2 linked regions of the Nothobranchius furzeri genome follow. The protein of the gene in region 2 purifies or fractionates together with the protein of the main gene of each other region. This does not show direct contact. Links are inferred from orthologs where the notes say so. Each region holds a gene or a part of one and is shown on either strand. Other genes may lie near its edges.

Region 1 (15,792 bases), on a different chromosome or scaffold from region 2:
ATATCAATCATGCCTGCGTGATGAGGGCTGTGACATTGATCGACAGCTGTTGAGTCAGTTTCTGCTTCAGGATTTATTTAAAAGACAATTCCTCTAAATTACGCCTGGGCAGCTTTAGCTGAAACCTACAACACTAAGCTGACCTCTGCAGTTCATTCTTCTCACACTGGCCTTTCTTTTTTAACAGATCATTTTCATCTGCAGGACTCAGTGTTTCTGTCCTCCTCGGACTGTCTGGGCTACTTGAGTTAAGTTGTACGTAGGTTGGCGAAGATGGGGGTGAAATTAAAAACATTTTTCTATATCACAAGCATGGCTGCTGCATCACCAGATCATTTCCAGAACAGCTCCTGTGTTTGCCTGTGACCTTCCTTCTCCCCTCTCAGTGCGGACGGCCAGATGAGGCGCTGCAGAAACGCAAACAAGCACAGACAGAAGCAATAAGAGAACCAGATGTGTGAGGAGTGAAGGAAAAACCCTAAAAATATTATTCCTGGAATCATTTCTTCATCCACTCCTTCTGTAATCCTCTAAAAATGTCTCAGCACCACAGTGAGGTGGTGCTTAATTTTCCTCTGACAACATGTAAGGAGGTCGAAAATGCAAAAACGGGTTTTGGGTTCTCCGAGAGGCTCTGCTGCTTTGTGATGCAGGCTGGGTGAAGCTGGCAAATCCAGGAGATACAATTACAGTGAAAGCCATGAGCGTGTGTAAACTAATCCAACCTCACCCAACTGCCAGGCATAGTCCACGGTCCACAGCATGTCTCGGAGCATTTCCTCCCCGCGTCTGTGTCTGCCGGCCTGAGAGACGTCCTCCATCACATTGACCGTCTCTGATTCACACGTATCAAAGATTATTCTGGGGAAATTTATAATCAGATATGATGTAATCACCATGCCACGCTTTGAGCTCCATCACCATTAAAGAAGAGCTCTAAATCCTAAATTGCATATTTAGTCATGGACACGTTTTAAAAAAAACAAGTTAAATGTGAAAAGATCGTCACTGCACAAAACATTGAGTTGCGTTAAAAGATTAGATCTTGACCTATTTTTGTTGATGAAAACTAAAGCTCGTTCACAGGGACCGCCATGTTGTGTCTTTATAACCAGAGTCTGCTCACTCACGATGTGGAGGCAAGTCCTACACAACCGGGGGGCACTTTAGCTTCATGGAACCCGATTTTGGATCTCTATTGATTTCTATGTTTCACACTGATGTGATTTATTTGTAACTACATGTGATTCTATTATTTTTCATCTGGGTCAATAAAAGGGGTAATAATAAATAACTAAGCATATGAAAAGTAAATGAATAGATATGACAGTTTCTAAAATTCTATATTGTAGGACTAAAAAATGACTAGTTTAAATTATCTTTAACTTTGAATCTAAAATGTAGGCTAGTTTAGAAAACATTATTATTTTTTGGAGATATTTAATTTGTAGTTTAATCTTTTATGTTCTATATATATCAGATCCCTGGAATTAAATAAAAACCTGGACAATAAAATCTGTGGTTTGTCAATTATTGACATGACTTTAAACATTTCAAAAGTGTTTACTGAAATGCTAAAATTATGCTTTTGACTTGTGAACAAATCTGGCTGAACATTGTATCCTAACAAATTAAATAACAAATGAAAACAAATATTCTGTATGGACCAGACCAATGCTAGAGCAGGTCAAAGGGGAAATGTTGTCACATGGTTGGCATAGCTACGCCTAATGACTGACAGGTGAACACTCAAGCTGAAATCTGACTCTAGTTATCAATCAGACACTTGATAGTTACACCCACGGCACACACACACACACACACACACACACACACACACACACACACACACACACACACACACACACACACACACACACACACACACACACACTCACACACACACACATTTGCTACACATATGCTGGTATAAGTTAGAAATAGGCCAGCGATGAGTTCGGATAATTCCTGAAAATTCAGATTGACTTCTTTACTCATCTTCGTCTGATAGGCAGTTTATGATTGAGGCTCATTAATGTAGCTCTGGAGTTTTTCTGAGCTAATTTCACCTGATCAAATGTTTGCTTTGGCTCCATTTTCATAGATGCCTCTCTGTCTCCAGTTGTATCCTGACAAATACTTCATATCCCAACGAGATGGATCAAATTCTCATACAAGCTACAGAACTCAGCAACAGCTGGAGGAGCAGTGTGGGTGAGGATGAGAGTGGCATTTTAAGGAAATATTTAGAAGATGTGTGTGCTGAAGGACTGTTTTCATATCATTTTAGTGAATAGTTTTTGCCTCCTTTATATGAACATTTTCTCTTTATTAAATACATATGATGCTACGTTTACTTCAATATCTTTTAAATGAATAAAGTTTGGTTGTCAGCGGTTGTTGCATTACTTTAAACGTAGCTCTAGTTCGTTTTTCCCGCTGTTTTCTGTTCTGTCTCTGAGTTTTCTTCTGCCAGAGTGCACATGCTGAATTTTCATCACATCGACAAAGTAGCCAAAGTTTAAAGGGCTTCAGTAAATGTGCCCTCATCCTGTTGGCCCATCAGAAATCAAAGCGTTAAGGAAGCGTTGCCATCACATCTTAACCAGAACCGGCAGAACCCCGCCGGTCCAACGTATTTTTAGGAGTCTCATCGGCAAAGATCACTATACTAGCAATACAAAAGGCTGTGCGTTTGTGTAGAGTCGTAAAGTAGAAACCACTGGGGTGTGTGTGTGTGTTGGGGGGCTTTGAGGTTGTAGCTGGGGAGGAACTGGGTTGGGTTATTTCTGGAACATGCGTCGCTCCGGTCCAGGGACCAACAGCTGAGCATGTGCCAGGACAAGGGCGAGTCTCGATCCCTGCTGAGAAGACCAGATGCAGGTTCTGATAACCAACGTTAGGGCTGACCTTCAGCCTGAATGTGCATGCACACACACGCACACACACGCACGCACACACACACACACACAGTTTCCCAGCCGCTCATCACTGCTTTACTTCCAGTTTACCCTTCTAGAGAGTTCTGCTGTCTGCCGAGAAACCACAGCATCCCCGACTCTGTCATTGTGAGACGGGCGGCTGTTATTACTGGTTAGTGAGCCACAGTCCTGGTCCTCTTGTGGGCAGCAGACGGGAGCGGGGACAGTGAAGCAGCTCACCACCAGAGACCTTGATCCGGAGCAGCCTGGAAGGCCTGCAGAGGCTAATGACAGGGAGCCTCTCACGAGGATCCTCCTAAAGGGGTTTGTGGCTCTGCCTTTGTGGTCTGAGCAGGAGCTGATACAGAAGCCCATCACTTCAGCATGGGACCTTTCTAACATGATCATTATCTCTGGACTGTGACTGATGAAGTTTCCAAAATGGCTTGAAACATCTGTGAGGATTCTTTGGGTCTTGCTGTCATGATGGTGGAACTTTGATCTTCTTCAAAACTGTCTCCGAGCTGTCACAGACGTCTGGAGCCAGTCCTGGCCCCGTCTTTATTCACTTTGAGTCAGAATTGGTGTGAAATGTCAGACAATAGAAGGAGACCCCCATCAATAACACAGATTAACTGGAGACAATAAATAAGACATTGAACAAATGTTTTCATCTAATTTTGCGACATACAAATGTTGTTCATGAAACAGTTTATTGCTCCAGCTAAATCAGACTTGTGTTTAGGGTACTTTTATTTTTCAGTTATCATAACAAACAGCATACGTACTTTTTAAGTTTCCAAAATGTTTGTGCTGGTTTCCAGTTCTTCCTCACGAGTCTCAGAGCCGCTCCGTCATGTTGCTGGAATTTCAAACATGTCGAAAACACAAATGTTCTCTCAGGCATCCCACTCGTCAGGATCACATCTACATTTGGTCACCTGTCAGCTTAGAAAATGTGAGAAGAGTGAGAATACCTAGCTACCAATTCAGCGTGATTCCAACACCAATCTGCTAAATGCTAATTTATCATCTACACCTGCAAATATTCCAGGAACATGGATGAAAGTCAGCTTGATGCTTTTGAATTATTCATCGTCTCCTGTTGTGTTGTGTGTTAGTGTGAGAAAATAATGAGCAACTTATAAAAGTTACGAAAATCAAGTTTGATGGATAAATCAGTATAACCATAATGCCCTGTCTGTTTTCATGTCATTAGAACTGTAAGCCCGTTTTTATTATTTGAACTATAATAAAATAAAACAGCTGTTCTTCTGATAGCTTCGGCAAACACAACTCATCCTGGACTTTCAACTTATTGGTAATGCAGATGCACCATCACAGTAGGCCTATAAATGTTTTTGCTTTTAATTATCCTTTAACAAGTGTCATATTTTAAATGTTACAGATAGTTTTACTGGCTCACAGTTCAACCCAGCAAGGTCTGATAATCCACCTCGAGACTCCCAAAGACCAGACTGATTATGTGGACCTGACAGTTGATTCTTGGCGGTAGTCCTGAGTTAATGTCTCCATCTAGTGGACCATTAGAGTGCAGCAGGGAGCTTCTCAGGTCCAGGAGAGAGCATCTGCTTGTTTTAAGCAGTAGCTTCTGCGCACTGGTCCGGCTTTCTCCTAGCCTAGTGAACTAGACCAAATTCTTGCTTTGCAAAGTTTGGTCTAGGCACGCTCCATTGGAACCTCAGCAGCTCCTACCAGGACTCTGGCTAGCCAATCACAGCTCTCTAGAGGGGTTTCAAACACATAAAGAGCTGTGATTGGTCCATAATGGTGGGCCAATCACAGTGCTCTATCTGCTTGGTGAACAAATCACAGAGCTTTATCCGCTTTGTGGGCCAATCAGGGCACTCTATATGCCTGGTGGGTGGGATGATGCAACAGAGTGAAACAAGAGTATGTCACATTCATTGTCCAGTCAGTGGAATGCGGAGATCATTTGAAAGACAACGGTAGAACCCGCCCCACAACCGAGAGCCGTCAATGGAGCATGGCCAGACTAAATAATACATTTATTTAGTCTGGCTTGCCAGGCTAGCTTTCTCCACATGCAGCCCCGGTTAGCAGGAGTTAGCGTCTTAGTTGAGCGTTTTCCCTGTAATGACTGAGCTCTACTTGTTGACAGCAGTTCTGTCTCTTACAGTTTAACTGGCGGGTGTTTACTTTAATATCCATCCATCACCTGTGCGATGTTAGGATGTACTTTGAAGATGTTCCAGTTCTGGAATGTTTAGGAAGAACCTGAAGGAATCAATAACCCCATGCTGCAAAAACGATTAGGTTCAGGAGTCAGATGACGTCCTATTTCATTGCAGAGTTGTAAATCAATCCATCCATCTGTCAATCGTGGAGGTGATAGTCCAGGAGGGAATTACAGACCTCCCTCTTCTCAGCAACTCTCACTAGCTCCTCCCAAATATGTTTGCAGGCTAGAGAGAACACATGTCCACTCCGGAGAGTCCTGGGTCAGGCCCAAGATGTCTTTCCAGCGCCCGGATGTTCTGCGATGGCTGTAACTAGCAGGCATTCTAATCAGATGCCCAGACCACCTTAGATGACTTCATTTGGTAAAGAGGGGTAAGTCCTGTGGCCGTATAGGCTGGAGGATGCACAAGTAAATGGAGACATTCTCCTTTCAGCTCCTCCTTCTTGCCCCGACGACCCAGAGAAACTGTGCCATTGCTGCAGCTGAGGCCATGATCCACGTGTGAAGAAGACACCAACATACACAAACTCCTCCTCTTCTCTAAACCCAGATGAACCATTCCACCTTTATCCGATTCAGAACCATGACCTTATAGTTGGAGAAGCTGAATCTCCTGACTGTGAACTGGCCCAGAGCACCCCAACGGCCATGGTTTAAACCACAGCAGAACCATGACATTAAAGTTTCTCAACACTGGGAACATGGACGGACCTCTTCTTTTGGTTTTACATGGTCCTAAAGGGATCCATGCATCCCCGCTAAGAATGTAGATACTAACCAAACACACGTGGACTGGATTACCTCGGCAACAAACTGATCCGGTGTTCAGTGAACTGGACAAAAGCCACAATCCTGATTCTGAGGTTCAACAACTGTTATCCTTTCCTGAAGCCTGGAGCAAACCTTCTGAGGGGTGTGTATTTCATGTTTAACACTAAATTTATCGTGTTTTACTAGAAACTCTGAAGCTCTCCTGCCTCTTCTGTGGCCACCGCACATGTCAAACACAAAACAACCATTCAAACATGATGCTGAACTTTGAAAGTACTTTATTAAAGTATGATGGTGCCGGGTCTGACGACTCTGGCTCTTTGGGAAATGACAAATGAGTAGGGTTGGCAAAACAATTTAAAAATAAATATGCCACATTTAACTAATAACTGCAACAGGTCAAATAGGATACGAGTGAAACAGATCTGATCTTCTGTGTTTTACTACATCACATTAACACGTTCCTAACGGAGCTTCAGACTCGTCTTCTACACAAACACACTCCATGAATAAAAGCTCGCTTCTTAAAGAAATGCCAGCAGGTCAGCATCATATTGACACTTCATGTCTACGAGAGGAACTGAGCAGTGTGAGCAGATGTTGGTCCAGACACGATCTGGTGCTTTTATTTATCAAACCAAGTCAGAACAAAGCTCCAGGCTCCTGATAAAGTCCAGTCCACCTCAGAAGCAAGAGAACAAGGCCCATATCTCCTCCCAATATGGGCAAAGAGTCCAACTTACAGATGGGGAAACCTCTTCATGGGTCTCTGGTCATGATGGAGAGGAACTCCTCCTGATTTACTGAAAAGAAGGGAAAAACACCTGGTCAGATCTACTGGATTTACCTGGAAAGCTTAGACGCAAGAATGAAAGAAAACAAACAAAAAGCGAAGCAGCAGTGGATTTTTGTTACTTTAACTGAACATGTTTACACATTGTCGTTAGTAAATCTATTTTGTTCCAGGGCAGCAGATGCCTGCTGACGTGACAGGATCTGGTCTAACAGTGAAAGCAACAATGTTAGGAACAATCATATAAATAATTAAAATGCCTGTGTGTGCCAGAAGATGCAGTGATGATGTTGGTATTGTTGCATCTGCGGCTCTAATCAGACACAAAATCACAACAAAAGAGAGACAGAGTTGCTCTCATCTCAGACTCCGGTCTTACTTTCTCCATCCCCGTCTGTGTCAAACTCGTCGATCATGCTGCGTAGCTCCTCGTCGCTGATGTTCTCCCCGAGTTCTCGAGCAACCCGTCTCAGGTTCCTCAGGCTGATCTTTCCTGACTCGTCATCGTCAAACAGCTTGAAAGCCTTCATGATCTCCTCTTTGGGATCTCGCTCCAAGATGCGATCCGTAACTGTTGAGGGGTAGGGAAAAGGTTTAGTAGCTAATGAAGCACCTCAAGCTATGAGGTAATACCAGAGCCGATGACCACCTTACCCACTTCGCTGAAATCCTCAAAGGTGATTTTCCCACTTCCCTCTCTGTCGTAATCCTTCAGAATCTTCAGAACATCCACTTTCTTCACTTCAAAACCGAGAGCGCGCATCGCCACCTGACAAGATGTTTAAATGTTGTTTTGGTTTGAATTCAGGATTAGAACAATTAGTAACTAGCACTAAAACAACAAATAAATGTTATTGCTGTAGAACGTTAGCTCCAATTCCCCTGGAGCTTTATTTCAGCAGGGTGCCTTCAGACATGGAAAACCCATTAGCGTTTCTCCAAAAGGTGATTAAATGGTATTTAGTTACTTTTACTTACATAATAATACATAAATACCTGGTGCTCCACATTCACAGCAGTTAAAGAAAAATAGGAATGATGAGGTTATAAAAGCATAACTTATATACGGCATTATTTCAGGCACAAAAACCATAAGGTAACCATAACAACCACCACTATGGCCCATTTTCTTACCTTCAGCTCGTGATAGTCAATCTCCTTATCTTTATCCGTGTCAAATAAGTCAAAAGCTTCTTTAATTTCATGCTTTTGGTCCTCGGTGAGCTCCCTCCTCTTCTTGCGCTTGGTTGTCTCAGCTGCAAGATCAGTTCTGCTGAAACAAACACACATGCAGTCTCACCTCAGACACTACCTGTATCACAGCCATGACTTATTAATGCATTAACCCATACACTTTGTTATCCAATGAGAACTAAACCATTTTCTGTAATGTTTATTGGGGTCTCTCTGATGACACAGGGTAGGCTAAAGGATCTTAAAAAAATCTACCTTATGCCTTGTTCTAAAAAAAATCAAAAGCAAAATAACCCAGAAGAACATCTAAAGCTTTGTAGGTCAAACTTGGTTAAGGTTTAAGGTCATGTGTCAACAATAAGGTAAACCTCATTCTCCAAAGCCTCTGCTGAACAACAACAACAACAACAAAAACAACCCACATTTACCAAAAACATTGGGAGGACCTCCAAAAGTCTGGGGGAAATTGTTTATTGACAGATGGAAAAAAACAAAACAAAACAAAAAACTAGTACATTCGGGTCCCCCACCGTTTCTCCGCCAGCTTCTTTGTAAACTGTTGTGTTTAGCAATATTATTTCAAGAAAATCCCTAAAAATATATATCTTAATCATTTGGTCATTGCTGTAGCTGTGAAATTCATCATGTTTAGTGAATATCACTAATTCTAATCTAATTCAGATTACGATACAATTAGATAATATTACTCAATTTACAGTTATACACAAGGGACTCGTTCCCTCATAAATGTCTTATCCTGATAAAAAAAATAACATCTACGCCTATAATTGTACAATTTGGCAGGACGAAATCATCTTGACGAGACAAGCGAAGGCGTACGTTTTTCAACTGGGGAACAAATCTCGACGTACCACCGGTTTCAACTGAACTGTAACAGCCACATCTCGCGACAAAAGGTTAGCTCCTTACCTTAGAGATAAACTCATTCCAGGTGAATTTATAAAACCTTTAAACCAAATGTTATTCTGAATGCTATGTGGCTACAGCTTCCAGCAAACACAACAAATCCGTTTATCCGCGCTCACACACCAGGAATCCTATTGGTCGCTGGTTGCCAGGCAGCAGTTAGGCGAGATCTGGTTGGTTAATGTTACTTCTTCAAGGCCGCTTACCCGGTCGTTGTCATTGCTCTATGCAGTCAATTAGAGCACTATTGCCACCTCGTGTTCATAACTGATACCACAGTCTATATTATACATATGGATGGATATACATATGCCCGGTATATATATATATATATATATATATATACACATACAAACCAATGATGAATCAAAAATATTCTGACACATCACCATTGCATAAAGAAGAAGAAAGGGCCTGTATATTATGTAAGGTACCTAAATTCTCCTAAAATTTTCAATATCTGGTGAATTTGGACATAGAGAATTATTCTAATGACTTCACGTGCTAATGTAACACTCACAAGGTCTTTATGAACCTCAAATCTTGATTTTGTTTTAAAAAAAATTTTGGGGTGGGGGGACACCCTCTCCACCAGCTGTTAAAGTCTCATACGTTCAAGCTGCTTTATAAAACTATTATTCCAAGCCCAGTTAAATCTTAACTTTCAGAAATTCTAAGCAGCCAGAGTTCAGAGTTGCCAAAAAGTGCTGCTTTTAGTTTTTGCCCACCAAAGAGTGCTCTTTCATAGGAAAAATCTTCTTTCTCTAAACTAAGTTGTGGATGTTCTAACATCGCCAGGACTTTTTGAGTGCCACAGGATTTTAATCTATAACAATGTAGTATGTTACCAGTAGTAACCTTTGTCACTGTGGTGCCAGCTCTCTTCAGGTCATTCACTAATTCCCCATATGTACTTCTGGACTGTTTCCTCACCATTCTCAAGATCATTTGTACCCCACAAGGTGAGATCTTACACAGAGCCACAGGTCGAGGAATACTGTCAGTGATTTTGTATTTATTCCAGTTTCTAATAATTGCTGCAACAGTTGATCTCTTCCCACCAAGTTGCTTACCTGTTGTGGATTTACTCAAGCCAATCTTGTGCAGGTGTACAATCCTGACACTGATGTCGTTTGTCAACTCTCTGGTCTTGGCCATGGTGGAGTCTGACTGACTGAAGGTGTAGACAGGTGTCTTTTATACAGATACCAGTTGCCACTAATTCAGTCAGCAAGTGGAGGATAGATAAGCTTCTTAAAGAAGAAGTAACAGGTATGTGAGGACCAGAATTATTGCACATATGTAGGCACTAAATATGTATCTTCTGCACCATGATACAAATAATTTCTTAGAAAATTTTACAGTGTGACTTCCAGGATTTTTTACATTCTGTCTCATAGTTGAAGCAAACTGTAACTAGGAATGCACCGATGCGATACTGGTATCGGTATCGATAAAAGTTAACCAATACAAGGAACCGATAGCAATGCAGCTGCCTGAAAGTGGCTTCACTGTAACTTGTCATTTCTGTTCACCTAAAATTTTAGTTTTGTGATCATTTTTATTAATGTATGTATGTATATATATACATATACATATCTATATCTATCTATCTATCTATCTATATATATATATATATATATATATATATATATATATATATATATATATATATATATATATATATAATCTACATCACAGTCTTTTCCTGTTGAAAGCAGAAAATTAAATTAAACCTGTATTCCAGTTCATTGTATTTTTTGTGTGGTAGAAGTATCGGTAATATGTATCGGCAAGTAATCAGATTCAAGTATCGGTATCGTATCGGTTTGGAAAAAAAGTGGTATTGATGCATCTCTAATGATATCAATTACAGACCTTCCTCATCTTTTTAAGTGGGAAAACCTTTTTTGCCCCACTGTATTGATCTCGTTCTAAATGGTTCATAGTTATGCCAGTCTTATTGGCCTTGCCTTAAAAGTTCAACCTTTACGCTCTGTGTTTGAGGGAATTGCAACATGACTCAAAACTGTAGCTTGTCTGGTTTTTCCTCCGAGAGTTGCTGACAATAAAACAATTAAACTGTTTCCGTTTGTAAACCTGAAACAAAACAGACGTCCAGATCTGGGCTCCAAACCTGCAACTCCTGATATTTTTGTAATCTGCCTTTTGCAAGAGGTAAGCCAATTTAAATAGCCATTTCCGTCTTTGACGCGTTAAAGCTCATTTCTTGAGTGTAAACTCAGGATCTTGTAAACAGGTTGCCCCCTCTATAAACAGAGCTGAGGCTCAAAAGCCAGTGTGAGCACGCTATCACAGGAACAGTGAGCCTGGACCAGCGAGCTGGGCTGTGTCTGTTGTCTTCCAACTAACCGCTGCAGCCCATTGTGGTGCTGCGTTTACTCTGGGAAATGAGGCTGTAGGTGGAGGGGCTTGATTGGTGGTTTGTGGTGCAGAAGCAACACCAGAGGGTCTCATCATACTTTAATACATGTGCAGGGTTCAGTCAAGACTAAAAACATTGTGAGCAAATAGTGTTTCACTTTAAAAAAACATTTAGCTCCTGTTTTTTTTAAACTCTCATCTAATTTTATTTTTAGCATGAATTTGTTAAAATGCAAATATATTTTTATTACCAGAGAGAAAGCCACCCTGTATTTTAAAGGAGTGAAACATTCGTCCAATCAATACATTTGCAGTTCTCTCCAGTAGGAATGAAAGCCTTGTAAGTCATACTCTGGGTAAAAAAAAAAAAACAAAAAAAACTCTGGTGCGCCAGGTTCAGGAACTAGAAGTGAGCCACATCACAGCTGATCTTCAGACGATGGGATTTGGAGTCATATGTGTCATATTTGGACATCTCATCTCTGATTGGATAACAGCTATGTGACTCTGCCACTGACTCCGTTCACTCTGCAACGTTGATGTTTTATCTCCACAAATAATACAAGTCTGAAGGAGTTCTGCTTTGTAGTAGAGTCATTAATGCTAACGGTTAGCTTCTACTAGTCGAGGCATTCTCTGCTGTTTCCTGGACACTAAACCAACAAGTAGTAAGTAAATTTTATTTATATAGCACCCATCACAGACATTGAATCACAAAGGGCTTCACATAGATCAAAACAACATAAAACATTATGATCTCAAAATAGAAATAGATTAAAATCAGAAAAAATTAAAGTCATAAAATTATAAAATTTCATTAAACAAAGATTATTACAATTTTTTGTTAATAATAAGAAAACAAAAGATTTCTGTGAAAGCAGCTTTATATAAAAGGGTCTTCAGCAGATTTTTAAAGGTGACCAGACTGTCAATGCTACATAAGGATAAAGGAAGATCTTTCCAAAGGCGGGGTGCAACAGTTTGGAAGGCCCAATCACCTCGACTTTTATATCTGGTCTTTGGATCTTCTAGAAGGTTTTGGTTTGTGGACCTGGGGTCTCGGGTTGGAGCTTGACCAGGAAGAGCAGGGCTTTACAATTCAGGGCCTTGACGGTTGGTATCCAGCCCATTTTAGTGGTTTCTCTGGTCCAACACAGTGGGTGAATAACCTGTGCAGCAGCCCATCAGGACCTGCAGAAGCCTGTTAATCACCCACTTATTGAAATCAGGTGTGTTAAAGCAGGGTTAAAACCAAAACGTGCTGGATACCGGCCCTTGAGGTCCTGAATTGAATTGCCCTGATACAGAGCATTGAAAGTTAGAATCAGTATTTTAAACTGAACTCTAAAGTTAATAGCTAACCAGTGCAGAGTCATTAGGAGAGATGTGTGCTCTTCTGTTTGCTCCAGTTAGGAGCCTTGCTGCAGAGTTCTGGACCAACTGAAGGCGGTCAAAAATCATGTGAAAAGTGTGTTACAGTAATCTAGATGGGAGGAGATAAAGGCATGGATGACCATTTCAAGTTCATGTTTTGACACCAACCTTCGCAGTTTGGAGATATTTCTTAAGTGATAAAAACTGTTTCGGACCAATCAGTGTGTTTACATGCAGCCAGTAACCCTTTTAAAACCTGAATATTCACAATAACCCGGTTCCGCACGGCCATGTAAACACCGCCAAAAACCCGGAAATGCTCATAACCGGGTTTTTAAAAACCCGGTTACTACACCTGGGGTAACCCTTTTCTAACCCAAATGTTTGGTCGTGTAAACGCATATCGGGACATCCCCATCAAAGCGTGTGTTCTGCGCATGCTCTGTTCGCAAAGAATCTTGGTCTTTTGAATAGCGAGACGTCTTGTATGTGCCAGAACACCGGAAGTAAACAACAAGTTGGGAGCAACATAGCGAGTCGCGGCACAGCACCACACTTTTGAAGTGACGAGGAAACCTCTGTCTTCATCGGTCTGGTGAAAAGTATGAACATTATGTCTTTTGTTGATGGCCGAAAGTACAGAGACAGCGAAATATACAAGAAGGGAACAGCATATTGCGTCTTGACGTAGTCCATACGTCCTGACGCTACCCCAACGTCCGCATTTAAATCGGGTTATGCAAGTCAGGGGTAACTCTTTCTATTTATGCTTGTAAATGGGTTATTCTGATCAACTCAGAAACCTGAATACCGACCTTAACCCGATCATAACCCGGATATTGGCTGCATGTAAACGTAGTCAATGATTTTGAGTGGCCTTCAAGAGACATTGATTGCTCAAAAACAACACCCAAATTTCTCAAGTTTGTCTTGACGGCAGAGGATAAATGACCAAATTTTAGGCTAATCAGGGGAACCATGCTCTTAGGGGCAATGACCAGACATTCAGTCTTTTCAGAGTTTAACAGGAGGAAGTTTTCTTCTAGTTAGCTGGTGATAGCTGAAAGACATTCTAGTAATTCAGACAGTTTATACTGTAGAACTCAGAATCTTTAAAGGAGCAGTTAAGCTGAATGTCATCTGCATATACACTCACCTAAAGGATTATAAGGAACACCATACAGTGTTTAACCCCCTTTCACCATCAGAAGTGCCTTAATTCTATGTGGCATTGATTCAATAAGGTGCTGAAAGCATTCTTTAGAAATGTTGGCCCATATTGATAGGATAGCATCTTGCAGTTGATGGAGAATTGAGCTGGAGTCAGGTCAAGACCCCGATGAGGACGACGAGCATGCAGTTGAGCTTCCCTGAGACGGTTTCTGACAGTTTTGTTTCAGCAGCTGTCTGAGTGGCTGGTCTCAGACGATCTTGGAGGTGAACCTGCTGAATGTGGAGGTCCTGGGCTGGTGTGGTTACACGTCGTCTGCGGTTGTGAGGCCGGTTGGATGTACTGCCATATTCTCTGAAACGCCTTTGGAGACAGGTTATGGTGGAGAAATGAACATTCATTGCACGAGCAACAGATTTGGTTGATATTCCTGCTGTCAGCATGCCAATTGCACGCTCCCTCAATGCTTGTGGCATCTGTGGCATTTTGCTGTGAGACAAAACTGCACATTCCAGGGTGGCCTTTTATTGTGGGCAGTATAAGGTACACCTGTGCACTACTCATGATGTCGGATCAGCATATTGATGTGGCACACCTGCGAGGTGGGATGGATTATCTCAGCAAAGCAGAAGTGCTCACTATCGCACATTTAGACTGATTTGTGAACAATGTTTGAGAGAAATGGTAATATTGTGTATCTGGAATGAATTTTAGATCTTTAAGTCCATCTCATGAAAAATCGGAGCAGAAACAAAGGTGTTGTGTTTATATTTTGTTGAGTGTATTTTCTATCACAAGCTAATGCCTGCATGAAAAACTCAGAGGAACTGATTATAATCAGAAATAATCATTGAAAGATGTTTTTCAGTGTTCCACACCTTTAAATAACATACATTATCACATATTATCTAGATGATTATTATTATTATATTGAATAGATTCACCTGTCTCATTAAAAGTGTGCTTTTTAATTTGTGTTCAGATGAAAAACTTTTGCACATTTCTGTGTTTAAATTAATTCATGCTTTCTAATATTTGTTTTAGTAATGAGTTATAATTAGATATTTTTTTTGGCCTCGACATCCACAACACATTTCTATTCTGGTCATTACTCATGTGGTGTCAAATTAGAAAATTTCTTAAAAAATTACATGAAAAGGAATTTTTAAAAGGGATTTTAGCACAAAAATATTGAGTGATAAAAACTATTTTACCTCATCAAGCTACTGAAGTATCATTAATTTTCCCTGAATGGTTTCTACATTTACTCAAGATAAAATGTTTCACAGTTTGACAAATCACAGCATTAAAATGTTGAGACAGACAAGACACTGTTTTCTGTTTGACCACTTTATCATCCTTTCCTGGAGCAGCCTGGACACGTCTAAGCTAACTAAAGTCTGATTGTTTAGACTACACAAATCTGTCATTCATGTACAAAACACAATGAAATAACAAGCTAATAAACTGTTAAAACAAAATAAGATTTAATTTTACTGAATGGAGGTCCTTCATGCATTAATAACAAAACATATGAAAATTCCCCACATTTTAACTGTTGGAGTTTTACTTGAAAGATAAATATTTGTAAATGAACATTTATTTTACTCAAATGGTTTAAGCTATATTTATTGGGCTTGCAAGTGACTTTAGTGGAAAAATCAACTTTTAACAGCAAATCTATCTCGTGCGTCTAAGTTGGTAATGGTTTCATATTTTGCAGCCTTGAGCCAAACAGGATCAGCTGAGTTGTGTCTCAAGTGCCAAAGACAACACGTCTCGTTCTCTGCTGGCTGAGTGCTTTAGGAAACCGGTGGGTGGATTTCCATAGAAGGATGTAAACATTACACAGAACTGGTGCTGTTTTACTGTATACTTGGGCTGATGGGATGCAAAGGCTGGAGGTGTTTATATTGAAATGGTTGGTGTCTGCACAAACTGTAGCTGAGTGTGGGTTTGTTTGGACTGCAGGGTTAAAGGAAATTAAAGTTTTTAAAGCTGTAAAATGTAAAAATCTGTCAGAATCCGAGAT
Region 2 (15,746 bases):
ATCATGCTAAATCTACTTTTTTGGAACTTGTTAAATAGTTATTTCCTCATTAAAAAACCACCCCAAAGTGATTTTTGGCTTCGTGCACGCATTTTACTGTCTCAGCTGCAAATCCTAGCCGGTGTGTCCATCTGCTGCAGAAGCCTGGATGGAGTTGTTGCTGTGTCATCATGTCCCACTCCTCCCCATCCAGGCAGTACTCAGTCTGGATCCCTCCTCCCCTGGACTGTAAACACTAATGCACAGTCTCTCTTTGTAGCGAGATAAGTTTAATCCCCACAGAAGTAAATAAGTGATTTTTTAAAAATCTAGTCTGCACTTTTGATAATGCCTGGAACCCAAAATTTTATTTCAGTCTACAAGAGATACAGGACCCCATCCAGTCTTTCAGAAGAAGTTTCTTCTGGTAGGATTTTATCTTCAGAAGCTCTCAAAAACCGAGCCAGAATGTGGCTGTGATTTCATAGACTGCTTGTTAAACCACTACCAGAGTGGGTTTTCAGACAGATGACTACTTGAAACTGGCGTCGATCCAGTGTTAAAACCAAGAAATGAAGAGCCAGAGTGGTGAGTACAACCAAAATGCTAACCAAATGCCAAATGGTTATAAAGTGTGGTGGGTGAGTGTCAGGGACAGACTGGGACCATAATTCAGATAATTCAGGCCGAGAATCTCAGCATCTACCATCTCGGCAATCTTTTTTCTGTGTGTGTTTGCAGCTTGACTTGAGAAGAGATGTTGCCATGGATTTGCAGTCTCCAAGTCTGCAGCTGTATATTACTGTGAATTTCATACAGGGGGGGGAGGGGGGGTCGGGCTGGGTTTAATTGAATCCAAGCATCTTATTTCTGGGTTGAAGGAATGTCTCACAAAAATAATTTCAATAAACAAATTACATCTCTGAAGTGCCAACAGTACACTACAATACAATACAATCAACAGTATCTTGCATCTACTGTTGCTCTGGAAGGTGTAAAATGACATGATACAGGACCTTTAAAATACAGTTGCTTAAAAACTAAAGTAAAGGGGAAAACAGGGTATCCGCGGGTCCTTAAAAAGTCTTAAATTGGCTTTTCCAAATTTAAGGCCTTAAAAATCCTTAAAAATTACAAATAATCCTTAAATACAGTTTCCAAAGGTCTTAAATGACCAAAGACCCAATAAACAAGATTATTTTATTACTATAACATTTTCGTGAATTTCTAGTTAGTGTTCAGCTTTTTTGTGTGTATGATGTTGGCGTAAGCAGAACCGTACACATTCAGTTGGTTGTGAAAGGTGGCTATTTTTAGATTAGCACATTAGCTGGTTAAGCTAGTGGGAGCTTGAGCCATGGGGAAGGGCAAGTTTAATGGCTACTGGATGGATAATCCCACGTTCGCGACGTGGTTGGCACCGGTTCCAGGCAATAGCCGGAAATTATAGCTTAGATTTGGTCAAAGTGGCCTTAAAAAGGTCTTAAAAAGTCTTAAATTTGGCACCCTTAAACCTGCAGATACCCTGGGAAAAGAACAAAGTAGGTGAGATCATTTTTAACAGGAGAACACATTTCAACATAACACAAACAACTGTATAACTTACCTTACCGACACCCCGGTAGACCTCGGTCACCCTAGGGTCCAGCTGGGGCATTGGAACCCCTGATACCTCAGACATCACTGTTCCCACCTCGGTTTGCTTCTCTGTGATCTTCTCCATGATAATATCAGCTAAGGTCCGCCTGTGATGGTCACAAAGAGGAAAACAGCTGAGTATACGAACATAAACTTAACCTCAAAGTGGACTTTAGCAAATTCCAACAGCTAGAATTCAAACAAAGTTGTGAGAAATCTTGCCTCATTGGAGGGTTTTTATTCATGAACATCTCAATGGCCTTCTCATCATCAGAATCAACGATGACTTCAGTATCACCCTCCACATCACCATCCCCAGCACCTGCTTCTCCCAGAACTGGCCAATCTTCATCTGAGTCAGCATCCTGGGACTCAGGGCCTAAAATAAACAGGTCAGACAACATTAGAAAATATTATTCATGCATTCAGCAAAGACTTATTTCACCTAAATAGTTCTGAGAAGATCACGCTGGGAACTATTTTTCTCTGTGATCGTCTGACATTTTGTCCACATAAAAAACATTCGTCATTAGTTTTATTTTTGCAGAGAAATAAAGGGATGTTGCATAAGTAACACCGTATAACTAATTACAAAAACACTTTCGTGGTTTCTACGCTTGATAAACCAGACTTAATTAAAAAAAATACTGCCAATTTAAGGTCCGAAACCCTCCATCATACCGAGAACAGTGACTGGTGCTTTCCTCTGCTCAGGTGCCAGGCCATACTCGGTCTGCAACTCCTCTTGTTGAATCCGGGCCTGTTGTAAGATTTTCCTTGACAGACGTTCATCCACGTAGGTGTCCTCACTTTCGACCCGGGCGTCTCGATTCTTCACCCGGCCTCGGGCTCGGATCGTGTCCGCCTGGAGGATCTGGTCGGCCAGTGGCACCGCTCCTCCTCCGCCACTCTTCTCTCCTCCACCGCCACCTTTAGCTCTTTTCACTTTCGGCATCTTTCAAGAGTGACTCAAGCTGCGACGACGCTGTCCGTGTTTTGTTTTACCATTAGAGACACAAACAACGCGGAGAAAGAATTCTGTAAACAGTCTGTATTCTACACGTGCAGATTACCGTACGGCGGAAGTGACGATATACGTAACGTCTGTGCACTGAAAAACATATATATAACATACCATTTTATATGATGTTGATTTTATATGTTTGTATGTAACATACATTTATGCAATATGATTATAAAGTTTCTTGAGTTTGTTTTTTAATTTTCTGAAACAAGGTCGTTTACGTGCACCGGAAGTGTAAATGTTAATCCGGAAGTAATTGCTTCACGAGTGTTTTTTGCAGGCGAGAAATCAATGGGTGTTACTTGGTAAGCAGATTTACTTATGTTGTAGTTAAATGCTAACTGTAATAATATTTTTGTAATATATTTTATCACGCTGTGCATATGATTTCGTTTGGCATGTGTAGCTAACTCGGTGAATGTAGCCTTTATTTGCTTCCAAACCGTTTTACACTGAATAGAATAGTGTTTATTGTCGTTGTACGGTGTACAGCGAAATTAGAGTGCCACTCTCTTTAGTGCAAAATGGAAAACTATACAAAAAATAATACAGAAATAATATAAATGTAAAATGAACAGTAATATATATATTAGTTGGGTTCAGTAAGCAGAATTTTAGCATATTGAGTAAACAGAAATAGGACATTCAAATGTTATTGCACATGATCAATTTTGAACAGGTTGCTTCACGGTGTTGTGTTGTTCTTGTGCTGTGCAGTGTTTGCCAGGTGCCCGTGGCGGAGGGGAAGAGTGTCCAACAGACAGTGGACATTCTGCATAAGAAGCTGGAGCAGCTTGGAGCTGTGAAGCAGGGCAACTTCTGTGTAGACTGTGAAACATATCAATCAACAGTAAACGCTGGCGGTAATTTTCAGCTATTAACCATATAAATATTATCATTCCTGTTGTTTAGGTGCTTTAGATGGATAGTCTTCTGCATTGCTATTAATACAACTTGCTGCAGGGGAATTTGTCATATTTCTTTGATTAAATTCTGCTTTTTGAAAATGTTCTAATAATTATGTCAAATATTTGACTTAAACTCAATTGTCCAGGATATGTGTGCCTTGTGACAAATATATTGTCAAGCTATGTAATTTTCATTTTTACTGATCTTATTTCTCTGTAAGGTTAACAAAAACAGTCATCCATTGGGTAAAAATAGCCAGATTAAAATACAGTTGGTGTGTTTTAGAAAGGTTTTCTGTAAATCTTCATTACTATGTTATGCAAGGTTAAATGAGCCACGTTTCCACTGTATCTTTCCCCAGAAGTCAGGAACATTTAAAAAGCCCCATCCACTGCAAGAATCCGCTTAAATTTGTTTAAATGGGACAGCAGTAGCTCAGGAGGTAGAGCGGGTTGTCCAGAAGGTTGCAGGTTCGATCCCGGCTCAGACCAAAGAATTCTGCTGTTGTGTCCTTGGGCAAGACACTTAACCTGCCTTGCCTGCTGGTGGTTGTCAGAGGGGCCGATGGCACCAGTGCTCAGCAGCCTCGCCTTTGTCAGTGCGCCTCAGGGCATCTGTAGTGACATCATAGCTCATTCCCACCAGCGTGTGAATGTGTGTGTGTGAGTGACTGTGTTGTGAAGTGCTTTGGGGGGATGTAGAACCCTGTGAAGGTGCTATACAAACACAGGCCATTTACATTAAGCTCCTTGAAAAATAGTTTTTATTTTTATGTTTTATAAACATCCGCAACCCGGGGTCTATAAACGTTTGATTTGGCATTTATCTTTCTAAGTTACTACTAGTCTTTTTTTTCCAGGTTTCCACCAATGAGTCCATTAGCAGAGCAGTAAATCATGATCTAATTTAGCTCAAGTGTCCTCCAGAAAAAAAGGTGTCTGCTCTCGCATCCCTCATAAGCAACATTTATATAAACAGGACATGGTATGATTCTACTACTTACTTGTGTAATTTTAAACTTAATAAGCATGCTGCTCTAATCTGTGTCCAAAAATAAAAAAATCATGCAAAGTCATTATGCAAAAATTGCATTGTTACATTTTGCTGTTCTTCATGCAATTTCTCACTTTAAGTCTGGGTTTGTTACAGGTCAGCCCTCCAAGCTCCTTTATGTAATGCACAACTCTGAATTTCCCCTGAGCTGCTTGGCTCTGTTTGAAGGAGGACCCTGTTTGGTAGCGGACACAAACTTTGACGTCCTCATGGTGAAGCTGAAGACCCATTTCCAGAATGCCAAGGGACACAAGGTGGAGTGTCGCGGTTCGAGATATCGCTACTGTGACTTCTTGATTAAAGTTGGCACGGTCACAATGAGTTCCAGTGTTCGAGGGATATCAGTGGAGGTGACAGTTTGGTATTATCAGTTAGACCAGAGGCCCATTGTTCTCTTTTTTGACAGGATTAACCCTTGATGTGTTTTCCTCAGGTGGAGTACTGTCCCTGTGTGGTTCCAGGGGACTGCTGGAACCTCATGAAGGAGTTCATGCTGTCTTTTCTTGGCAACAATGTTCCTGAGCTTCCCACTGTATTTGCTGCCAAGCCTGAGGGTCTTTTTGCACCAGCAGACTCTGTCGACACCATGACTCAGTACCTGGAGTTGTTCAACAAGCTACGGAAGTTACAAATCACAGGAAGCAATGTGCACTAATAACATTTTTTAATGATTGTATTGATGTGTGTTAAATGTGGTCCTATGGAAACCGTATGATTTGTATAGTTCTATTTTTGTAACTTCAGTTTTGTATTTGTTTACCCTGATACAGTTAAAAGGAATACAGCTACAATCTATAGATGCAAATGCTCAACACAGACAAAAATAAAGACAAAAATCTACCTATTTCTGCAAGAAGTAAAAATTCCTTACACTCGGTGGGGAAATGTTGGTGTCACAGCAGCAATCATTCACATCAGGAGCAAAGAAGAACAAAATCCTGTAACATATGCAAGAAATTCTTAAAACATTCAATCGAATAAAAAAAATCTGTGCAGATAGACGAAGTTTATAATGAGGAGTGATGGCATGAAAGGAGAAATGTGTAAATAGGGACCTGGGATTACTCTCCGTGCACCAATGGATGCAGCATTCTGCCGCTGTAGGAGTTCCCCAGCTTCATGCATGGGGTGGAAGACATTGTGTAAAAGTGATGCTAATTTAGCCAGTCCTGTATCCCACCTCCTGCACTAGATCAAGGAGAAATCCTAGGGCAGATGTAGTGTCAATAAGCTTATCTAGTCTCTGTCTTTCAGCAGTAGCTATGCTGCTGACCTAACAAACCACACCATCAAAGATGGCTGATGCCACCATTTAGTCAAGGTCTGTAGGAGCACCCCCTGCACTCCAATGGACCTCAGTGGCATCAGCGGGTAGTGTGCTCTGGCCCTTACTGAAGAATATCTGTGTTATGGCCTCAGTTTGCTGTTCAGGTGAACACCCAGGTCATTATAAGAGTCCACTACCTCAATGTCTGTTCCCTGGATGTTCACCGGTCCCTAACCCAAAGACCTGAAGGTTTGATTAGAACACAAAACAAGAACTCCCACATGCACTTCAACAAATCACTTAATTCACATTCAAGAGTGAGATGCTTCTTATCAATAACATTATTTAGGAATGTAAAGAAAAGTCATCTAATGAGACTTAATTCAAAATAAAGACCAAAGTTAAAAATGTACATGAAATACATGTGGGGAGAAGATGTAAAAACTAAGTTGAAATGTTTCCATATTTGAAGTTAGAACAGTTTAACCCTTCACATGTCTGACGCATTAAATTAAAATACACACACGTTATAAAATGAACAGTTTACTGGACTATATAACTAAATGACTTAGTGATTACATTATTTATGTAATTAAATATAACTGTATAATTATTATTACCTGTCGCCTGTAATACACAGGTCTTCCACTAGAGGAAAACAGACGTGTTCACTGCAGGTTTCTGATGATAGTATCTCTTTGAGTAGTTCTGATGATAGTATCTCTTTGAGTAGTTATGTTCTTGCTGTGCAGAAAAGTAACCGCTTGCTGCTCTAGTGTCTCGGGCTCTTTGTCTGACGCCTCTCCTGCTGCGTCGTGATCTTCTACTGCTTTTGCGTAGCTTCTGTGTCGGGTTTCCACCATTATCACCAAATCCTCTCGTCTAGTATATTGTTCAAGTTCATCAACTCTTTGCTCTTAGGCCGAAATCTTCTTATCTTCAGTTAGCAGTATTTTAAGCTCCTTCACCTCCTCCATCAGTCTCATTAATCGATCCTGCTGTGATGTTACTTTTGACCTCCTCCAGGTCTTCTGTGGCCATTTCTTTACCTCGTCCACCCGCTCTTCCTCCTGGCATCTCTTCCACTCATCTGCAACCGTCGTCCTCTGGTCCCGTGCTCATCGCGACACGATGAATGTTGTTGGGCCTGCTTGGCTCAGCAGCACCCCTCGGCGCTGCTGGGGGCCGGGCCGATGGAACCGCGCCGGGCTCAGGGTAGTACAAATCTTATTAAAGAGATAAATCTCTCATAAACGTAGTTATTTTAAAATTAAATATTTAGTTTTTCATTGTTCTATATTTTACAAATATTAAAGATGTGTAACAATTTTTCACTTATAATACTCCTATGCATTTATTGTCTATGTGGCAAAATATCTAGTTTTCTTTTTAAACAATTACTAGTATTTACAATAATTTAATACTTTGCAATATTTAAGAAATTGTTTTGGCAAATACTGAAATGCTTTTCTCACAATAACTAAATGTCTTTTTTTTTACTTTTTTTTTTTTTTTACAAATATACAGACGACCTTTACCATATACAACATGACCTAGCTACTATAGATAATTGTTTTGTTTTGTTAGATGCAAATGCAAATGTAGCATATCATGAGTTCTATAAACAGCCCAACATATAAATTCCATTCATTAGGCTTTTCATAAACATTAGAATGTTTGTATCATTTGTTTATTTATGTGTCACACTTGTTACAAAACTTTGTTTTACCGCCTCTTCAGCCCCTTGAAGCCAGCACTCCTCCCCCCTGTTCCCCGGTATGCAGCACGGCCCCAGCCTCGGTTATTGTTCCATGTGGCCTCGGTGGGTGGGTGGGTGGGCGGACGGACGGACGGTCCATCCTGCCGCCTGTTGTTCCGCAGTTGGACCAATGAGAGCCCGGCTTCCGATCAGCCCCGGTCCAATGAGAGCAGTGGGGTCTGAGCTCGGATAGAGTTGGGTTGTTCAATCTGTGCGGAGGACAACAAGCCGCAGCTCTCAGAGTACCGGATGGATGGATAGGTGGATCAGTGTCGGCGATGTTAACAACACCGATCTCTTTCTGACGTCGGACTTTCTAACAAGCCTCGTTTCAGCCGCGTAACCGGCTCGGTGAGGTGAATGTCACCGGGGTAGTTTTTAAAAGGTTAACGGCGCAGTTTGCTCGCGAGCTAAGCCATTAGTTAGCGAACAACAACAACCATTAGATTAACTTCGATTGTCTTCGGCAGGAGCGTTAGCAGCGCGGCTAATGCAAGTTATATTTAAGCTAACAGTGTGTACTTCGAGCAAATAACATAATCTGTGATTAACCAAGCGTGTTTATTCGCGCCGCTTCGCTCGTGGCTAACCCACGGAGCCGAGCCGCTGTAGCTAGCGGTTAGCCGGGCTGCCTCCAACCAACAAAGTTATTGGAGGTTCCTGGAGAGAGTGGCTCCGTGTTCTTTGTTCTGGCTGAACATGGTGATGGTGGAGTAGCTTAGCATGGCGTTAAGGAGTCAGCCTGTCCGAGCCACGCTGCAGCAGTTAACACAAACACAGCAGAAAGTGGTTTAAATGAAAAATGTTAGCAGCTCGATGCGATTATAGAAGACCGTTAACATGCATGGCGGCGGCAGCTCAACATAACAGGGGTTTAAACTAACAAGGAACCAGTTGCTGCGACCCGAGGCAGCGATGGTGCCTGCAGCATCTGATTTGTCCATAAACTCTAGTTTCCAAATAAACAAATCCGCCAAGCTTTGTAACGATGTTGCTTTAGTGAATCACATTTTAAATTAAGTTTCATAAAGTTCAGAATATTAACGCTGAAAGACAGAAAAATAAGCAAATTTCTGATTCAAACTTGTTGTCAGGGTTAGAATTATTTTCTTTAGTGTTTCAGCAAAGCTCACGATCAGTCCAGCAATTGATCTAAAGCTACACCAGTTTTGTTTTAAATAACATCTTATTTATTTTCCTTTGTATATATGCATATTTTATTATTATTATTTTAACTTTGAGACAGACCTAGATCTAGGGATGAAAAATGTAGTTTCCTGGTGATTAATGAATCCTTTTTTGCACTGGTGTTAACCCTATTTGTTGTCTCACCTTGTAACTAATTAATTGACTTAGACGTTCATCGCTGACACGTTTTATGCAACTGTAATCCTTGTTTTTCAGACCCGTCCTGATGGTGCTGGTGGTGACCGTGGGCAGAGCTGAAGTTGCTGCTGAGCTCCGAAGATGATGTGATCTTTTGTCCCAAACCTGATCAAGCTAAATAGTTTTATTGTTAGTTTTTATTCAGTTATTCTCTACAGCATAACGTGTTTAATCTTCATTGTGGTTTTGTGAACAGTCATTTATTATTTCTTTCAGAATGAGTTGCTGTTTGGCTGAAGGACGTGCGTCCTTTCACTGAGGCCACATGTGTGTCTGGAGAGATGGACCGCTGTAAACACGTGGGACGCCTTCGTCTAGGCGAGGACCATTCTATTCTCAATCCTCAGAAATGGCACTGTGTGGAGTGCAGCACTACAGATTCGGTGTGGGCCTGCCTCAAGTGCTCCCATGTGGCCTGTGGACGCTTCATGGAGGAACACTCGCTCAAACACTTCCAGGAGTCCCAACACCCATTGGCTATGGAGGTGCGGGAGCTGGATGTCTTCTGCTTTGCCTGTGGAGACTATGTACTCAATGACAATGCAGAAGGAGACCTCAAACTCCTCAGAGGGGCCCTGTCTACAGTTCGGAGCCCAGGTAGACGCTCGCTGCGCTCTTCCACCGGGGGGGAAGGCGGACCGCAGCCAGCCATGCAGCTGGCCTTTCGCCACAGGAGGAAAGTGCTCATGAGGAAGATGCTCCAGATGTGGATGAGCAAACACCAGGAGCTTCAGAGTCAGTGCAAAGAGAAACTGGAGGAAGCTAGGAGACAAAAGAAGGAGGTAAAGAGGAGACTTATGGAAGAACTTGTTAGTGTTCCTCCCAGAAAGAGTGCCAGGCTTCTAACTCAGGCGCCACGTTCAACCATCACACTCGTTCCTCGCAAATTTCGCGACCCACCTGAACGCCTACCTCCTGTTCCTCCTCCTAAGAAGCCTTCGATTCTTGCTGTGCCCCGCAAGGCTCCCCGGAATGGCAGAGCCACCAAACTGAGGAGATACTACTCCACACATGCTGTAACACGAAGGAAACTTGCTCCAGGTGTCACTGGTCTGCGTAACTTGGGGAACACATGCTACATGAACTCGATATTGCAAGTGCTGAGCCACCTGCAGAAATTCAGGGAGTGTTTTCTCACTTTGGACCTATGTGAGACAGAGGAGCTGCTAGCCAAGACCAATCACTCCCAGGGAGTGAAGGCCATGCCTGGGGGGGTTGTCAGTGGGAACACACCACTGTCAGATTTACCTCTGGGACGTATGGGGAAGGCGGGCTGTTGGAATTTGCCTGTGGCTAATAAAGAAAGTGTCCCTCCTTCCTCCCAGGCAGCAGAACTGGTCCAGCCCAAGGAGCCTCGCTGCTCCACTCGCCAGCAAATGTCTCTGTGCCATGAGTTGCATACACTTTTCAGGGTCATGTGGTCAGGCCGGTGGTCTCTGGTCTCTCCCTTTGCCATGCTGCACTCCGTGTGGAACCTCATTCCAGCTTTCCGTGGTTACGACCAGCAAGATGCCCAGGAGTTCCTGTGTGAGCTACTGGACAAGGTGCAGCAAGAGCTGGACACGGACGGGTCAAAACGGCGGATTGTCATTCCCATCACAAAGAGGAAGCTCTCGAAGCAAGTGCTGAAGGTTCTCAACACCATCTTTCACGGGCAGCTCCTCAGCCAGGTTAGTGGATCAGTTCTGTAATGCTGAGTCATGAAAGCGTGCTTGAAAAGTTGTAGAAATTTGGAAAATAAAGAAAGAAAACTTATCATGATGCGCTTCACAAGAACAAAAATTAAGATAAAAAAAAAATTAAATCTACGAATGAGATCAATGAAAAAATTTTGATTTAAAAATGAAAGGGAAAGAGAAAACGAACAAGAAAGAGGGAATCCCAGGAAAGGCGGAGTTGGTAGAAAGAGCTGAATAAGGGGAGGGAAGTGATGAAGGTCCCACCAAAGCCAGTATGAACAAGTGAGTTTTCAGCTGCTTTTTGAAGGAGACCACTGAGTCCACTGATCCCAGGCTCCACAGTTTCAGAGTCTGGGGGCCACAGCAGCAAATGATCTGTCACCCTTGGTCTTTAGCCTGGTGCTGCACAACCAGTAGGCTTTGGTCACTGGACCTCAGGGACCTGCTGGGGGTGTAGGGACTAAGAAGATCACCAATTTAAGATGGTGCTTGTCTATTGAAGGCCCTAAAGCAAGCAGTAGTCTTAAGTGTGAGGAGATGAAGGTTGTGGATAACGATCTCAAGTTCAGAGTGAGACAGAATGGGCCTCAGCAATGTTCCTGAGATGGAAGAAGGAAGAGCCAACAAGAGAACTGACATGAGAATCCAGGGTGAGTGCTGGGTCAAAGGTCACACCAATATTCCTGACAGAAGGTTTGGTGTGGGAAGCAAGCTGACCAAGAGAGTCTCTGACTTTGGGAACCAGCTTGTCTGGGGCACAGATGAGGATCTCAGTCTTATCTTCATTCAGCTGTAGAAAGCTCCCAGCCATCCAGGCTTTGATAGAGTCTAAGCAGGAGTGTAACAGCTGCAGCTTAGACATCTCATGGGGCTTAAAGGAGATGTACAGTTGGATGTCATCTGCATAAAGATGGTAGGAGATTCCCTTAAAGGAGCTCAGGATCTGTTGAAGAGTAAGCAGCTAGAGGAGGAAGAGTAGGGGCCCTTCAGACACCATGGGTGAGGGAGGTCGTGGAGGACCAAAACTTAAAGATGGCTATATAGAAGGAACGTTCAGAAAGATAAGGGGAGAACCACTCCAGTGCAGGGTCCTCATTTATCAAGCTTGCTTACGCACAAAGCAGGGTCGGAAAACTGCGTAAGCAACTTTCCACGCAAACTTTGGGATTTATAAAAGAAAACGGAGTGGAAAAATGTGCACAACTTTAAGTTGACTAAGGACCTGGCTTACGCACATTTTGGACATGGAGAGCACCTGCAGTGCTGCTGCTGAGAAGGATAAAATTATGAATTCCAGCAGCATTATCACTTGTACCGCTTCGTGCGCACACAGAACAAATGAAAAACACCTGAGCACATTTTTAGGTAGTTTGTGATTTATAAAGCGGAGATTGTGTGAAGCTGTGCATGCTCCATGTTTTATAGGTCACAAACTAACATGGCGTAAGTAAATTTTTTTTTGCTGAGCTTAATTACGGTTTTAGTAAGGATTCTATGCAATGTTTTATAAATGAGACCCCTGGTCCTGATAGGCCTTCCCAGTCTCTTAGCTTCTCCAGTAGCAGGTGATGGTCAACAGTGTCAAAGGCTGCAGTCAAGTTCAGCAGAACCAGAACAGAACAGTCCCCTGCATCACTGTGAGTCAGAAGGTCATTAGAGACCCTAAGAAGAGCGGTTTCAGTAGAATGAGCTCTACGAAAACTTGACTGGAAGCTATCATAGATGTTATGTTCATCAAGAGCAGCTGTGAGTTGTTAAGCCACAACCTTTTCCAAGATCTTGGAGATGAACGGAAGTTTAGAGATGTATCTGAAGCTGCTATGGAGAAAGGCGTCAAGACTCGTTTTTTTTAAGAAGCGGGTGAATTACAGCATTTTTAAAGAAAGCAGGGACCTGACCAGAATTCAGAGAAGCATTAATTATAGAGAGCACGCTGGAACCGATGGACTGAAAAGCACTTTTAAACAAAGATGAGGGTAAGATGTTGAGGGGGCATGCAGAGGTCTTCATAGAGTTAACTAGTTTGGTTAACTCAGGCAAAGAAACAGGAGCAAAGCTATCTAGGATGATGGGCCTGGTTGGAGTCGGGAGAGGCAGCAATAAGGCTGAAGGAGAGATGCTAGATCTAACCTTATTGACTTTGTCCACAAAGAAAGACAGAAAGTTCTCACAGTCTGTAACAGAGTGGATGGAGGCTGTAGGAGAGGCAGGAGAGACGATTCTGCTGATGGTATTAAACAGCACCTTGGGGTTCCCTTTGCTCTGGGACACCAGGTTGGAGAAATAGGAAACCCTCGCGTCTCTGACTGCAGAGTTAAAGGATGTCAGAAGGTCATTTAGATGGAGCACATGGAGACAGGTTTCCTTCCACAAGCTCTCAATTTTTCTGCTTCGATGCTTCAGGCTGCGAATGCTGTCATTAAATCAGGGTGTAGGGTTCACTGCAGGAACTGATCTGGTTCTGACAGGACAGATGTTGTTCAGAATAGAGCTTGTTAAACTGAGAGGTTAAAAAATCTGGGTCATAATCAGAAGAACAGGGGGAATTAAAATCAGCTGAAAATTTGCTAGTTGTGCTCTCGATATGAAAACGAGAAGTTACAGAAAATGCAATGGTGATTTGATATAAACGTCCTTGGGACAAACACTGTCATTATTTAAACCCATGGTAAAAACAAGGCCCAGAATGTGCCCCCTGGTGTGTGTGGGTCCGGAAGCATGCTGAGCAAAGCTGAAGGAGTCCATGAGGCTGGAGAAGTGGTCTGAGGCATCATCAGTGTGGATAGGGATGGGTACCTTTGACATTTGAATCGATCCGGTACTAATACCCGGTACCTACGAATCGATACCGGTACTTAACGGTACCAATTTTCGATACTTTTGAGTGTTTATTATTTTAATTCTCTTTTATAATTACATTTATATTTTTCTCAATATATAACAATATTTGATAAATATCACGATAAATAACATTCAACTGTTTGTATTTTAACATCGTCCTTGTAGTTTTATAAGCTGATAATTTAACTGAAGCAAACATCTTTACTGTGAACTAAATTTACTGTGCATCTTCTTTCCTTTTGCCGTCTTTTTTCATTTGATTTTTCCTACTGGGAAGTTAGAATTTCCGAGGAGAAAGCGAACGCACCATTAGCTGATAACAACGGTCGCAATGGAAGCTAACATATCAAGCTAACGTTATCTTTAACAGTTTATTTAACTGCTGGAGCAGATTAAAATGATGATGCCTCACACTTAGATCGTTGTCGCTGGTTTCATCTTCACCCAATCACCCGTTGCATTTAGTAAAGTGAAGCCAAACTTTAGAGCGCGTTCATGTTTATCTAGTCAGAAATTTGGAGTTCCGAGGAGAAAGCGAACGCACCATTAGCGAAATAGAAGCTAACATATCAAGGTAACGTTATCTTAAACATTTTATTTACCTACCGGAGCAGATTAAGATGAGGATGTCTCACTTAGATCTTTGTCGCTGGTTTCATCATCACCCAGTTACCCATCACATTTAGTGAAGTGGACCCAAGCATTAGCGTGCATTCTTTCTACCCATGCTGCTCTGTTTACAACTCGCTCGCAGGGGCCGACGACATAACGCTCTTGCGCATGCGCAGCTGTCTTGGCAAGTTCTCGTTATGAAGGACGGGTACCGAAACGAGGCACCTTTTGAAATGACGTGAATCGGTGCTCGGTCGGTACTATGGAATTCGGTCGGTACCTTAAAAAGTACCGAATTCGGTACCCATCCCTAAGTGTGGATGTTAAAATCACCAACAATCACCAGTATGAACAGCTTCACAGTGGAGGATTAAAAGTCACTAAACTCCTGAAGGAAAGAATGATAAACCACAGGACAGTAAAATATGTCTTTACCATCAACATATATACTAGACAATTCATGTCCATAGGCTCAAATTAAAATGTTTTTGTTCCCAATTGGGAGGTTCCCACCACCGCCGTTTTGACCGTGTCACAGGTCCCGTCACGCTCAGACAATCTAAAAATAGGAAACAGGGTGAAACAGTGTAGCTACTAGCTAACTTAGCTAAGCTAAGAAGGAGCTTCTTGGGCCGGGATGTCCGCCGTTGTTGATTGTCCCTTCTCCAGGAGCCAAAGATCAGCGGGACATTAGCCACATACTAACTCAAAGTTAATGGAGTTTTTCTGGTCGTTTTCATTAAGAAAAATGCGCTTGAGCGACTCAAAAGTGAAGCAGCGTCAACAAAAAGAGCCGCAGTGTTTTTGTGGTCTCCCTCAGAGATCCACCATTGACCAGCATGACTACAGCCTCGCTTCGGAGCCGGCCTGGCTGCCCCGGGAAACGGGAACAGCCAGCCTCCTGCTATTCTCAGGCAGGAGACAGGAGAAGCTGGACAACCGCTCAAGGTTCTTATGCAGCCCCACTAACATGTTTGACCAAGCAGGTAAATGACACAGCATTTCCCCCATTCAACCAATGAAATGAAGTATAGAAATATAAATGTACTTACTGATTAAAAAAAAGCAGAAACTGCTTGAATGGTCTTTTAGCGCAGTCAATAACCACACATCTTTCCTTTTTGTCCAACTAGTTCCATGATTTACATTCAAACACAAACACACAGAAAAAAACTAAAGTTCAGAGAGTCGAAATGGCTGAACATCTATTAACGTGAGGCCGAGGCCTGGGCTGAGGCCTTTCTCCAGAGCTAGTGCTAAACTCACGTGGATGCTCATTAATTGTTCAAATTTTTAAGATTAAATAACACTTAGCATAGCATAGTTTATTTATATAGCACATTTAAAACGCAGCATGGGAGCTGCCCAAAGTGCTGCACAGGCTAAAACAAAACACAACCATTTGAGCAGAAGAGTTACAAAAAATGTCACCATCTCAGAGTTATTAATGTAAACTAGATATATTAAACCTAAAATGGGTTTTTGAACCAGGCTGTAAATATGTTTATTTCTGCTGTAAAATTGGCATTTTTACCATGGGAGTCGATGAGGATTTGTTCACTTCTGCTGCCAGACCCTTGCGGATGAAAGTGGAACTGC

The links.
Region 1: the proteins of usp49 (region 2) and cetn3 purify together in Homo sapiens (affinity purification with mass spectrometry; 4 studies listed by BioGRID and IntAct, with this or other methods). This does not show direct contact. The link is inferred for Nothobranchius furzeri from reciprocal best matches to the Homo sapiens genes USP49 and CETN3.

The regions. Positions count from the first base shown.
Region 1 is NC_091746.1:37,898,692-37,914,483, reverse strand, and holds cetn3 (centrin-3), read right to left. Parts: upstream 8,995-15,792; 5' UTR 8,851-8,994; coding exon 8,834-8,850; intron 7,983-8,833; coding exon 7,844-7,982; intron 7,479-7,843; coding exon 7,364-7,478; intron 7,281-7,363; coding exon 7,089-7,280; intron 6,720-7,088; coding exon 6,676-6,719; 3' UTR 6,178-6,675; downstream 1-6,177. UniProt on the Homo sapiens protein: Plays a fundamental role in microtubule-organizing center structure and function. As a component of the TREX-2 complex, involved in the export of mRNAs to the cytoplasm through the nuclear pores.
Region 2 is NC_091743.1:46,649,885-46,665,630, forward strand, and holds the start of usp49 (ubiquitin carboxyl-terminal hydrolase 49), read left to right. Parts: upstream 1-7,834; 5' UTR 7,835-7,985; intron 7,986-9,033; 5' UTR 9,034-9,144; intron 9,145-9,231; 5' UTR 9,232-9,296; coding exon 9,297-10,685; intron 10,686-15,746. Other genes in the region: bysl (bystin), read right to left, coding at 1,586-1,724, 1,840-1,996, 2,299-2,572; med20 (mediator of RNA polymerase II transcription subunit 20), read left to right, coding at 2,933-2,946, 3,359-3,504, 4,700-4,953, 5,037-5,258. UniProt on the Homo sapiens protein: Deubiquitinase that plays a role in several cellular processes including transcriptional regulation, cell cycle progression or innate immunity.